Linked DNA regions of Caenorhabditis elegans. The protein of the gene in region 2 interacts with the protein of the main gene of each other region in a pairwise test. Each region holds a gene or a part of one and is shown on either strand. Other genes may lie near its edges. The genes, in order: C05G5.1 and eif-2gamma.

Region 1 (8,096 bases), on a different chromosome or scaffold from region 2:
GTACATACTCACTGCCTACTATAAGTCATCCATATAAAATTTAAGGAAAACCGTAAATTGACGAAATACGTCAAAACTTATTTGCCGCCCTAATACAATTAAACCATTTTCCTAGCTATCCTTGATTTCGCTGGAAGAAACACTGTTTAAAATTAGAAAAAAAAAAACTGTTTTAATATGTCTATCTATTTTAATGATGTACTAGATTAGTCAAAGTTCCATAATAATTAGCAGCAAAGTTCAGTGATTTGAAGAACAGAAAACAGAAAGCATAAATCATCTTTAAAATTTTTTGAAGAATATTCTGATTGGTTAAAAAATAAATTAGAAAATGTGTCATATTTATTGGTTCAAAAAGGTATAACGTTTAATTGGCGATTGTGATTATTCTGCTCCTCATTTAAGCAGACAGGGAGCAGAAAAGCTTAGTCGGTATTGGTAGCAATTTGGAGGTCACAATTTCAAGTCCGGGCTCACTTCCTAGGTTCACCCAGTCTCTATTGGAAAGTGAAGCAATCCACGGCTGGATTATCGGCCACAGTCTCCGGCTAGGACGTGGCTTAAATTATAGCCCAGTGGGAGCACAACCAGGCAGTGTACCTAACTCCCAGATCCGCAGTGCGTTGCGCTTGAAGAACGAATCGCCCTTTAATCTTTTAATCCTTTTAAATATTTCATTCGAAATATAGCAAGTTTCAAATATGGTTTACGAAAAAATGGTTCAAAAAGTATATAACTGGGCATTCTACTATTTACGTTTCAATTTATTCAAAACTCTAATGTTTTCAAGTACTCTTCGTTTGGTTAAAATATAAGGGTCTAATGGAATTACGATTTCTGTTTTATACTTTTAGAACAAAGCATACATCTGTTCTGTAATCTGTTCTGTATTTTTGAGTGTTTAAATTTGCAGGGTTAAAACTGTATTTCCTTTTAATTTTTTTCCAAAACCAATCTAATTATGTTTCATTTTTCATAGTTTTTGAATAATATAATAAATATACATACTGTGATAATTTATTTATCTGCAGATTGTGAAACGTGCGACAGGGTAGGTAGGCTCTAACTGTTGCTCTTTCAAGGAGTAGTACAACAATGATTATTCAAAGAATTTAAATGAATTAAATCGCTATGTGCAATTATTCCATAAGTGTTCACCTGATGATTAATTTAGCAATAAAAATTCCCAAAAACTTATAATATGTCTGCCGCAATATTTCCTATTAATCGGATCACCAAACAATTACAAAACTCACACCCGTTCATTGTAATCATTCTATTGACTTTTGCATTGTTGAATCAGCCGGGCAATGTATGGTAAGCCCAATGATCAGCGAATAGGAAACCCCATATAATAATATTGGCCAGTAGGTCCCCAGAAAAATTTTAAGTCTACATCTCGACAATGATAAATATTGGCTTTAAAAATGCAAAAATGCATGTCTTATTGAAAACAAAGATATTTCAGAGCTATGAGGTTCAAGAATTGATTAGGTAACAAAATCATAAAACAACTTACAGGTTTAAACCATTTTCTGGAACTTTCGTTTGCTATCTGAATCTATAGCTTTCACTGTTATTTTAACTAACAGTTTACAAACAGTAACCATAAAATATCATCCGAAAAGAGAAACACAAACAATACTTTTTTGGAAACAAAAAAAACTATTTCGAGTTTCACTGAAAAGTAACATTTTTAGAGCTCTTTATTTATTTTCAACTTTTTGTACCAAAAAATGGCAACCCTGGCCGAAACTGAGTCAGTGAAATTCCATTTTTAATGTTTTGTTTAGAATTTTTTTGGGTTTGAGAGCATTCAATTAATTTCAACCAAATAGTTTCAATAAAATGTATCTTCATTTTTAAAAACGTCGAAACACTTTCCAAAACTTAAAACTGATACTTGCTTCCATACAAGACTACACACAAAACACACCGACTCCCGGTTGTGCTCGATAGTAAAAAGAAATGAAACGTGGTTCAACTACATTTTTCGGAATGTCCTCAACTACTGGACACGTGTGTTTGCTCTCCTCACTCTCGCATACATATTTAGTTCCTAGCGTGCTTTTCTGCGGTTTCCTTTTTCTCTAATACTGACCATTCATCAGTTGCAAAAGCGCACCACTTAGAGTTTTAATTTGCTTTTTCTTCTTGTTGCTATCTATTTTTTTTCAGTAAGTAATTTTTTTAAGTTAATAAGAATACTTCAATATTAATTTTTAAAAGTCTTCAATTAATTTCCAGAACAAAGAGATTGAAAGCCAGTGAAAAATTGATTTTTCAAAGCACGAGTACTACTGGGTTGGATTGGTAAACACACATGAGGTGAGAGAGGTATAGGAAACAAAAGCTAAAAACAAAAAATAAATAATAGTGCAATTTCACTATTTTTTCTATTTTATGCAAAAAAATGTATGAGAAATTAAAATTTTTGCTTTTTTAAAATGTTTTTTGACCTGTGGTTGTAGTATTTTGATGTTGCATTTACTTCCTGCGTGACGTCCTTATCATTTTGCTGAAGTTTCAAATTTATGATAAATGCACTAAAAGTTTCAAGCAAATAGTGAGTTTATCAGCTTCAAACTTTTTTCCCTGTTGAAAAATGTATAGTAATTTAGAAGTTTCACGTCTGCACTCAAAATTTAAAATTAGAAAATGCACTTGAAGTACTTACTAGAATTACGATTCTAATAGTACTGCATTCTTTCATTACTTTTTCTTTGTTTGACACTCATTACAATAGTAGGTAAATATATTTTTATATAACTCATTCCATAATTTTTCAGTAATTCCTATAAATGATACATACTTTTCTTAACTCATAAAAATTATGTCATTTCGAAGTGAAATTCTCTCAAGCTGATTTGAAAATGCTTATAAAAAATTGAGCTTGAAAACAAAAAAAAACCAATATGTGGGTGGAGACTATTTAAAAATGGAGTAGCGCCAGTTGGGAAGTTGTTACAAGCATGTATAATAGTGAAACTTTTTTTTTTAATTTTAAAAACTTTTATTGACTGCCAAAAAGGGGCCTTACGGAGTTTTTGCCACTTTTAGAGAGAATTCGAATCCTTAAAATGTTAAGTATCAATATTTGAAACATAAATATATCATAAAAGTCGGTGAAATTTTTTATCAAAAACGCAAAATTGAGATTTTTCCAATTTTTCAAAAATAACCTTTTTTTTTATTTTGGATTTTTAAAAAATAGCTTCTCCATTATTGTTTCTGTTTTTTATCGTTAACCAGTTCTTCTAAAAATGTGTATATTAAAAAAAATTGAAATTCCTACAATTGACCTTGCCAATACATTGACATTTTCCGTTTTTGATTCGGGTATATATAAAAAGTTTAAGTGTAGTGAATACTAATACTTTCAGTCAGACATTTTGCTGAATTTCAAATTACATTTCAAATTAAAAAATTCTGTTCAAACACTGCACAAGTCAAAATGACTCATTCCTTCATATCACACATCAACATATACGAAAACTCTAGTAAATTGACTTAATTTTCCAATAATGCGATTTAAATGTTCCAAACAACGGAACGATGATTAAACGTTTTCTAAATTGTTTATGATTCTTTGTTTTCATAACCGAATAATCTTTTCTGGAAAGGCGGGGCAAGGCGTAAGTTGTTCTAGTCACAAGGAAATGTAAATAAATTGTCATTACGATGGCTTATCAACCAGTTCAAAATCGGTTCAATTTCCTATTCCGCCTTGCCATTTGTCATTTTTAGATGAATTTTTAGTTAGATTTGAAAAGATACAATACAATTCAAAGTATTATGTGTGTAGGAGAATTTGTCAATATAATCTAAAATAAAGGGAATGAAAAACATATGCTACTACGTATTTTAATTCTTTATTAACCTTTTTATGGTAAATTCTAACTATACATTTTTTTCCCCCGATATCGTTTGAGAATGTAAATTAGTAACCTTTTGGCTACAACTTACAAGTGCTTTTTCTATTGAAATATTTGAATTTTTGTATTTTGATTTTAAATCTGTGTTGCGACTAGACACTATTAACACAATTTAATCAGACCCACGTCAAGAGGTGACTTTAAAACTTTTAATCGTCTTTCCAGTTCACTTTTTTCTTCGCCAATTTCTTAGTGTCACCATGTGTGGTCTGAGGAATGCCTAATGCTTGTTCACATCGCTAATTTGGTTTATCAATTCACAGATCACTTTTTTTTATTTATTGCATTACTAAGTTAACCATACCCAAAGTATGTATTTTGGTCTTGTTTACTAATCTTTCACAGTCGAAGAATTCCCACCATTTGAGACCTGTTCTCTTTTTATTACCTTTGCAAAAATCCTGCGATAAACCCCTTCTCAAAAAAATATGAGAACATATTATATGTATCAAGAGAAATTGATATAGCATCATAACCACGATATCTTCTCAATTTCACTTTCAAATGAGAGAGATAATAATCAGTTTTTAGTTTCCATAGTTACACTACATTGTCCTAGAGTTTGTGAGCACTCAGGGCACACATTTTTCAGAGTAGAGTGTCATTTTTCTAATCAACCTGCAAGCAGTGTAGAGGAGGCAATTCCTTTTTGCTTTACATTTTTCGATGATAAAACCATTGGTCGTAGATCAGTCGGTTACAACAACCACGCTTCACCCTTACCTCTTCCTTCCTTTTCTCTTGCCTCAATTTATTGCATATTATTTCAGCAGCAGAGCACACATCTTACGTTGTCAGAGAGGAAGAGGATCAGTGTTTTCACAACTTATACTATTTGTTTTCCACTGATAACATCGACGGCATCGCTTGATAATGATTAACAGCATGCTGAACGAGGATTATAGGGTTTACCCCAAACGATGGATTTATTTGCTGGCAGTGAGCATGATTAACTTTTCAAATGGAAATGTGAGTAACATCATTATTGGAAGAAAATAATTAAATGACGAACATGATCATGTGATTTGTTTATAATAGATTTTCAACCTAGACTTCATGTCGTCGTAGATCATATCAAATATCATTGAAGATAGCCAATATCAACTAAACAGAAAGTGACAAATGATGATAAATCGTTCTTCTTCTGATAACTAGAAATCTTAGAAATCAAATGTTCTATCATCAATTAAAAATGTTCATGATCATAAAAACAACCTTTTCTCCAGACATGGATCACATACGCGGCCATCACTTTCTACACTAACAACTACTACTCCAACTCAAATGCAGCTCTATTTTTCAACGTTATTTTTATGGTTTTATCGATTCCGGTGGGATTCTTAGCATGCTGGTGGATTGATAAGTTTGGACTCCGATCAGCGGTAGGATAATCTGACAAAAATGCTGATCTAGAGCTAGATGTATTGCAGTATCACATTGGAACATGGGCAAATTTCATCGGAAACATTATTCGTCTGGTTGCGTCAGGGACTTTTATAGACCCGTCACTACGGTATGTGGTTTTGGGGATTTGAATATTGAAGTTTAAAATATTGGTTTCATTCTATCCAAAATGTTTATTTTAATTGTTTAAAATTTTAATTCTAATTGCAATCTATGTTTATTATCATAAATTTATATGTATAGTCCAGGGCTCTCATAAAGTCTCCATAACGGCACCTGCACCGGCTTTACGGCGTGACTTAAGCCGCATGTATCCGGATGCATAGTGCGGTGCAAAACCCCGAACGTGTCGGCCACTTTCAAACAACTACATCTTTGCACTACGTTGCGCACACACCAAGCTACTACTCATTTCACGCCAAGCTGCGGAACCCCGAACGTGTCGGCCGCTTCCAAAAAACTACCTTTTCGCATTACGTTGCGCAGACACCAAGTTTCAAAAGCTTGACTAAGTTCAAAACTGATTACCCTAGACACTAAAAATGCCTACCATTCTCTTAAATTATTGAATGCGAAAAAACTCTCAAGATTTCAGATTCCCAATTGCTATAACCGGACAGGCAGTAGCCGCTTTTGCACAACCATTTGTCATGTTCCTTCCCACAAAACTCGCAGCATACTGGTTTGCGGATAATGAGAGAGCTATTGCAAATACACTGTCGTCAATGTCGAATCCCATTGGAATCGCTGTCATGTACTCATTGGCACCTGTATTTGTAAATAAGACAACTCCAGACAACTTTTTCAATATGGTAGGAAAATCCGTTCTTTGAAATTGAATCTTAGAAAAAAAAACCTGCAGAACATAGCAGTAACGGCTGTGGCTGTCATTCCTGTAATTCTCTCCTTGTTCATCAACAAGTCAAAGCCACCTACTCCTGCAACACCTTCCAGAGATACAGACGTAGATGCCCCGCCATTTTTGGAAGGTGTCAAAATATGCTTCAAATCGAAAACGTTCATTGTGCTATCCATTTGTTTGGGTGAGTTGTTGACAGTCAAATTTAAAACAACATTGCCAAAAAGTATGCCTGATTAATGTTCAGTACAATAGTTTAATACAATAGTGCTCATAATTGTCACAATACCCACAGAGTGACCAGAAAAATTTTTTGATCTTCCTAGAGAAACATGAGTTATCATCATTTTGTAAATTCACTTTTTCGTTAGACTTACACTTTTTCCAGCAGGAGGTCAAAGTCCTGGGAGTATTCAGGGCAACTGTGCTTGCCAGATTAAAATGTTTTTGATTTTTCGAAATGCGGAAGAATTAACATACATCTTGACAGTCTAGTTTCCAATATGTCACGTATGCACATTTACAACCTAGAAACTGCCAAGTAAATGTCTTTCAAAAATGCTTTAATTTTTAGGCGGAGGAGTCGGTCTTTTCAACGCGTTGTACAACAATCTGCAGCCAGCATTGTGCGTGAAAGGGTATAACCCGACGTTCAATGGAGGAATGGGAACCTTGTTGATCATGTCTGGACTCGTTGGAGCAGCTATCAGTGGGATCATTGTTGACAAGTGGGGAGAATTTGAAAAAGTTAGTTTAAAACTATGGATATCTGGTGGCAATGCATTTTTGAACTTCGACGTACCAAATACCGGTTACCGAAAAGTTACCAAAATTTCTGCAATTTCCAATTAGAAAAAACAGTAAAACAACTAGATTATTTTCTCCTTCTGAACATAGCTTTTAGATCACACTCTCTACACATTAGCTTCACATTCCACAATTTTTCAGGTAATGAAAGTATCATTTTGCATTGCCGGAGTTGCAGCAGCTTCCTTATCAATTTGTATCAACTACGAGGGTGTGCAGTGGTGGGTGATACTCTCGATTTTTATCTTTGGAGCTGCTGGATTCTCAATTTATCCGATTGGTCTCGAGATGGGAGTTGAGGCGACATTCCCAGTGGCAGAGGCCACGTCAACCGGACTTATTATCATGATTGGACAGGTTCAAGGAGTATTTTATGTGATTATGACAAATCTAGCTGTCGGAAAACCGGACCCTCATGATATGGCCATTCAAACGTGCGTGGACACCAACTCTCAGAATCATACGGTGTTAACTTGGAAATGTAAGATAGAGTTTTCATTGTTTTAATTAAAAAATTATGCATTCTCAATTTCTTTTTTTCAGGGCCATTCCTTATCTGGCTAATTTGCATATCTGTCCTTATAACTAGTTTTGTGGCATTCTTCTGGCCTAAGTACAAGCGAAGGAATTACGAGCAGGGAAAGAAATGGAACGAGTTAGATCTTTAAATCTATGTGTATACATATGTATTTATGAAACCAAAAACATATTTTCAATGAAAATTTGAAAAATTAAATGTTTATAGGCAAAGAAAAAGTTTATAAGAAAATTGAAAAAAAAAATCGGAGAACCAAAACTTAATTACACGGGGGTGAATCGGAAATGCAAAAAAAATCGAAAAAAATATATGAAAAACCGTTTAATCTTCATCATCATCAATAAGTTCTTTCTCGTGTTTTGCATCGGTTATCATTTTATTGATAGTGTCAATGGCTTTTTTGGTATCTCTGTAGTCTTCATCTTCCAGTGTACCTTTGCCAGCGAATTTGGCTTCTTTGGCGTATGATTCGCAAATCTATAAATTTGAGTTTCTTTTGTAACACAATGTGATGATCTTGGAGTATTCAGGCCTCACGACGTCACTCAAGCCG
Region 2 (5,435 bases):
TGCGATCGACCCACTTCTTGGCGAAGGTGCTTCGTGGTGGAGGTGCTTCTTCGTTTTTTGGAATGACCGTATCAGAACGGAGCACCATAATTGGTTTCCCGCGTAAATTGTTCAGCTGGAACTAGGTTATGTTTTAGTGGGTGGAAAAAATCGCACAATTCAGAGTATTACCTGCACTTTCTTGCTCCTGTCATAGCCGTAAAGTGACGTTTGAACAGTGTTCGGACCTTCGATGAATTTCGGGGCCGGCATCGCTGAAATTTATCATTTAGAGTGTATGTTTTATCCGATCGAGGCGTTAAAATAAAAGTTTTATACATTTTATTCAGATTTTCGAACAAAAATTTGAGAAAATTGGAGAAAATAAAGAGAAATTCAGATGAAATTCGAAAATTTTCTAGCGGCCTACAACACCGTAAACATTCTACAAAAGTCTCATCGCGGCGAGACCATCTGCGCAAGGAATGAAACCTCCCTTTAAGGTGGGTTACTGTAGCCTGCACTTTTCGTTTTGTTTTTCAAAACCTGAATCTTTGCTGCAATTATAAAATGTATTTCCAGATTTTACTCAAATCCAATAATTTATCGAAAAAACACCAAGCACACTTTCAACAAAAAGAAAAATAATCAATGAAACTGGAAGTGGAATAGTAGGAAACAGGAGGAGGACAGAAAAAAGAACCAAAACAGGGATCCGACAAAATTTTTTGGACTAATAGAGAGACAAAAACGGAGAGAAACAATTGGAAAAGATTAATAATATGTCAAAACCGGTGTAGACAACAAATCGATGATAGCCGCTAGTTCTTGTACGGCTCAACGGTTTGACCTTTGCGAATGGTTCCCCAGCCAATCAGGCGCCAACTCTTCTCGAAACGACGTGACATGGCAATCTTCTCTCCAACCTGAATTTAAATACAAATTAAATTTATTATTTTATAAAAAGTGGGAATTACCTCTGTGCAAATAGGATCGTTTAATCTGATCTTCGCGGCGTCTCCCTTCACAGCAGTAACTCTTCCTCCCGTTGACAACGATCCAATGTTCACCAGCAAAGTCTCTTCCTTGACAAGCTTCTGCACCTTGGCTCCCTTCTTCTTTCCTTCAGTACGAACTCCGAGCAATCTTCTCAGAAGATAGAAGGAGATTTCAATTTCGATGAAGATATCTGGAAGAGTGCCAACGGCTCCGAGGATGTGACCGACGAGTCGATCTCCACGGCAGAGTGTCGGGTCGATCTTCGTTCCAACACCGATGAGACCGCCGGGAACGGCGTATTCCAGCTGGTTCTTTTCGGCAAACAGAGAGTCGATACGGGAGAAGATCGGACGGCATTGGAGTTGACCGGTCGCGGTTTTTGAGACGATTCCCGGGCGAACTTCGATTTCTTGTCCGACGCGCAGAATTCCCTTGGTCAATGTTCCTCCGGCGACTCCTCCCTTCAAGTTTTCAACTTCAGATCCTGGCTTGTTAACATCGAATGATCGGATAATGATGAGACGAGCCGGCGACTTGAAGTCACGGACTGGCACGGGGATTTTCTTGCAAAGATACTCGCAAACGAGCTGAAAAATCGCAATTAATCTAGTATACACGCTCTCCTCAAGCGTTCATAATTATTAGAGCGCGCTCGCGCGGCCCCTCACGAACTCCAGAATTCGCGGGGACAGCAGTTTTAGGCGGCTGTTTTTGGCTTCTATGGAAATTATTTTTAATTTTTTGTTTAATAATATTGTTGAGAAGCACCATCCGAATTGAAAATGTGTAAAATTATGAAATCTGACCGAAAACTGAAGGTTTTACAGAGAGGAGTCACCACGGCTTTCTTTAAAATGTATCAGTACAGTCAGTTTTTCGATTTCAGAGTCGTAGAATATGTTATTTTGTAGAGAAAAGTCTGTTTCACAAAAATCCATGTTTGAAATTTTAAAATTGTTCTTATGAAAAACTGAAAATTTGAAAAAATTAGATTCTAACGTAAAATTGTTGATTTTTTGAATATTTTTATATTAGAAATTAAAAAATTAAAATTTCAAACATGGATTTTCGTGAAACAGACTTACAAAATGACATATTTTACGACTCTGAATTCGAAAAACTGACGGTACTGATACATTTTAAAGAAAGCCGTGGTGACTCCTCTCTGTAAAAACTTCAGTTTTCGGTCAGATTTCATAATTTTACACATTTTCAATTCGGATGGTGCTTCTCAACAATATTATAAATCAAAAAAATTAAAAATAATTTCCATAGAAGCCGAATATAGCCAAAAACTGCTGTCCCCGCGAAACGAATTCCCGCGAATTCTGGAGTTCGTGTGGTGCCGCGCGAGCGCGCTCTAATAATTATGAACACTTGAGGAGAGCGTGGTATATTTAAATCCAGATTCAGATCCTTACATCAACATTATATTTAAGCTGCGCAGAAATCGGGATGACTGGAGCATTCTCGGCGACCGTTCCTTGCACAAATCCGGCGATTTGCTCGTAATTTTCGCGGGCTTGCGACTCCTTGATAATATCGACCTTGTTCTGAAGAATCATCAAATGATTCAGCTGCATAATCTCGACGGCGGCGAGATGTTCAGATGTTTGTGGCTGTGGGCATGGTTCGTTTCCGGCGACGAGCAAGAACGCGGCGTCCATGACAGCGGCTCCGTTCAACATGGTGGCCATAAGAATGTCGTGACCTGGGCAATCGACGAATGAGACGTGGCGAACACAGGTGAATTCTCCACCGCATCCGGCGCGCTCGCATGGGAACCGATCGGGTGTTGATGAACCGGCGGATCTGAATTAGAATTCAAAAATTATTTATTTAAATTAAATTTCAGGGAGATATTATAACCTGTAACATCCTGGCCTTGGGCACTCTTGGTTAGAACATCTGTAGATCTTTGCATTAGCGTATCCAAGTTTGATAGTAATATTTCTTTCCAACTCTCTTTTGAACTTGACAGTATGCACACCGGAGAACGCTTTCACCAGAGTGGATTTTCCATGGGCTACGTGGCCAATAGTTCCGATATTAATCGTGGCTTGTCGAGAGATAACCTGAAAAATAACTCTTTAACTCAAAAATTATTGATTTTCAGTACCTCCTCGGTGAGTGGGTTCAAATTATCGACTCCGACTTTGTCCAAATCTTGTTTCGCAAGCCAGCTCTGGCACTTGTCCTTTTCAGCTTCTAAATTAAGAAAGAATTATGAAATTTTCTTGAAACCGAAAAGCTAACACTTACCAGAAGCCATATTTTTTGTTTTTATGATCCCAGTTGAGTCGATTATTGATCTTTAAAAAATTATCATTATAATTAATCGAAATTACTCAAAATTAATTGAAAATCCATAAAGATTGCATAGAAAACAGGCTAAAATTGGATAAAATTAGAAATGGGTTAAAGGCGCATGGGAGTGGTTGGAAGGGTCTCGATGCGATTTCGTGTGTCGATTTACGAGCTCGAATTTTATGTTTTGCTTTTTAGCGCGAACCAGGCAAAAATCGTTGAATTAACGGACATCTGTATATTTTTCGTATGGAAATATTAGCGAAATTGCTTCTTAAAATTATTTATACGGCATTATAAACCATGTATTCAAGTAAAATGCAATAATTATTCATCATAAATCACCGAAAATCCCAAAATAACAAAAGAGTATCATAAATTAAGCAGAAATGGAGTCCACAAGCGTCTTCGCATTGACGAATTCTGCGGCTTCCTCCGGATAATTCCCAGAAGCAATCGATTCACGGAGGTCGGCCACAGCTTTTTGGAGACGTGATTGAGAATCGCGGACCATGTTGGCAGTTTCCTGAAAATATTTTAATTTCGTATACTCGTAAATCGGATTATTTCAAAAAACCTTAACAATATCCTTCGACTTCTTGGCAACATACTCCTCGTCCTCGTTGGTGGCGTCGGCGGCGAGTTGGGCAGCCTTCTGCTCCTCCTTCACAACTTGCTTCTCGTAATAGGCGACTTCTTTGACGAGACGTTGCACGGTTCCCGTCTTGATTCGGAGCGCTTTCAGCTGATCGGCTTGGGTCGACATGGCGGCGGGAGGTTCTGCAATGTGAATTTTTGAAACAGAGAACGAGATTGTGAGCTTGCTTTTATGGACTAAAAATCGATAGAAAAAGGCGCAATACCACCGAAAATGTTGTGCTCAATGAGCCGAAAAAGGACGGGAAAGCGAGCAGATGGTCAGACACGCTCGGCGATTTCGAAATAAATACAAATTGACCGCTGTCTGTTGGGCGACACAGGTTCCCGCCAAAAAATCGACTGTTCAAATGATTTCGCAATACATACATAGAGAACGAACAAGAAGGATCAATGAAAAATTCTATGAATTTGAAATTAGGTACTGATGGAACGGCAGATGCACCCATGGGGGTACTGCATAAATAATAAAATTTTAAAACAAGACATAAATTTAAAAATTCAGATTTAAAAAAAACAAACAAAAAATAGCAAAATCTAGAAATTTAAAAAAATTCATCAAATATTAAAAATCTATTGCAATCTGGTCAGTTTGCAAATATACATTGGTCCAAAGTTAGAGGGTAGAAACGGCACGACGAGGGCTCCCAGTGGAGTGTCATGGAAACGATAGAGGCCTGATGACGTCATATGGGATACGAGTTGATGTAGGGATTCCTCGACGGTCACGATTCCAAAGTCATTGCGTACGACGGCTACAGCGTTCTCGACGACTGCCTGAAGAAATTTGAATTAGCATTTTTGAGCTGTTATTTCGACAAAAAACCCCGGTCTCGACACGCCAGAAGTACTGTAGCCGCGAAAGTACGCAATCACCGGATCCTACGAAAAAATGCATGCAGAATTTCGGGATTTTTTTTGAGGGAAAATGTTGGGATCGGGCGAGAGTTGAAGCCAGAATCAAATTTTTAAACGGAAATCGTCAAAATTTGAAATTTTGATTTGATTTTCTCAACTGTTTAGTGAAAATTCGAGATTTATAGTGTTAAAAGAAACGATTTCTTCACATTTTAAACTTTTGTGAAACTATCAGAGCAAAATTTGAGCATTTCGGGGTACTGTAGCGGTGAAAATACGCAAACACGGCAGGGAGCGCAAAAAAAAATGCAGAATGCGATTTTTTTTAAACTAAAATTGGAAAATAGCCGAATATTGTTTTGAAAAATTGAGTTTTTCACGTTTTTTGTAAAATTTTCATCGATTTTTCATCAATTTTCGAATTTTTTACAAATCGAGAAAAAACTATATTTGTCATCATTTTTCAAGGAGTTTTTCAAAAATCGATGCAACAAAAAATTTGGAACTACAGTACTCCTTAAAGGCGCATATATTTTCCTATTTAACAAAAAAATTTGTCGTGCCAAGACCAGGTTCGAGCGAAAACCTCGTTTTGGCTTGGTGAGAGTGTGCACGTCGAGTAGACAACCGAGCCA

Evidence for each region.
Region 1: the proteins of eif-2gamma (region 2) and C05G5.1 interact in a two-hybrid assay, tested with the Caenorhabditis elegans proteins (one large-scale study listed by BioGRID).

The regions. Positions count from the first base shown.
Region 1 is NC_003284.9:14,734,088-14,742,183, reverse strand, and holds C05G5.1 (MFS domain-containing protein), read left to right. Parts: upstream 1-2,064; 5' UTR 2,065-2,177; intron 2,178-2,247; 5' UTR 2,248-2,328; intron 2,329-4,705; 5' UTR 4,706-4,808; coding exon 4,809-4,904; intron 4,905-5,161; coding exon 5,162-5,317; intron 5,318-5,365; coding exon 5,366-5,448; intron 5,449-5,934; coding exon 5,935-6,151; intron 6,152-6,201; coding exon 6,202-6,382; intron 6,383-6,772; coding exon 6,773-6,945; intron 6,946-7,146; coding exon 7,147-7,486; intron 7,487-7,548; coding exon 7,549-7,673; 3' UTR 7,674-7,742; downstream 7,743-8,096. Other genes in the region: F33C8.4 (DUF7758 domain-containing protein), read right to left, coding at 7,865-8,020.
Region 2 is NC_003279.8:2,311,126-2,316,560, reverse strand, and holds eif-2gamma (protein-synthesizing GTPase), read right to left. Parts: upstream 3,291-5,435; 5' UTR 3,251-3,290; coding exon 3,241-3,250; intron 3,187-3,240; coding exon 3,098-3,186; intron 3,054-3,097; coding exon 2,848-3,053; intron 2,791-2,847; coding exon 2,400-2,790; intron 1,566-2,399; coding exon 957-1,565; intron 906-956; coding exon 801-905; 3' UTR 569-800; downstream 1-568. Other genes in the region: ekl-7 (PEHE domain-containing protein), read right to left, coding at 1-121, 172-252; tbca-1 (Tubulin-specific chaperone A), read right to left, coding at 3,665-3,811, 3,863-4,051; 5-cytosine rRNA methyltransferase nsun-4, read right to left, coding at 4,516-4,719, 5,387-5,435.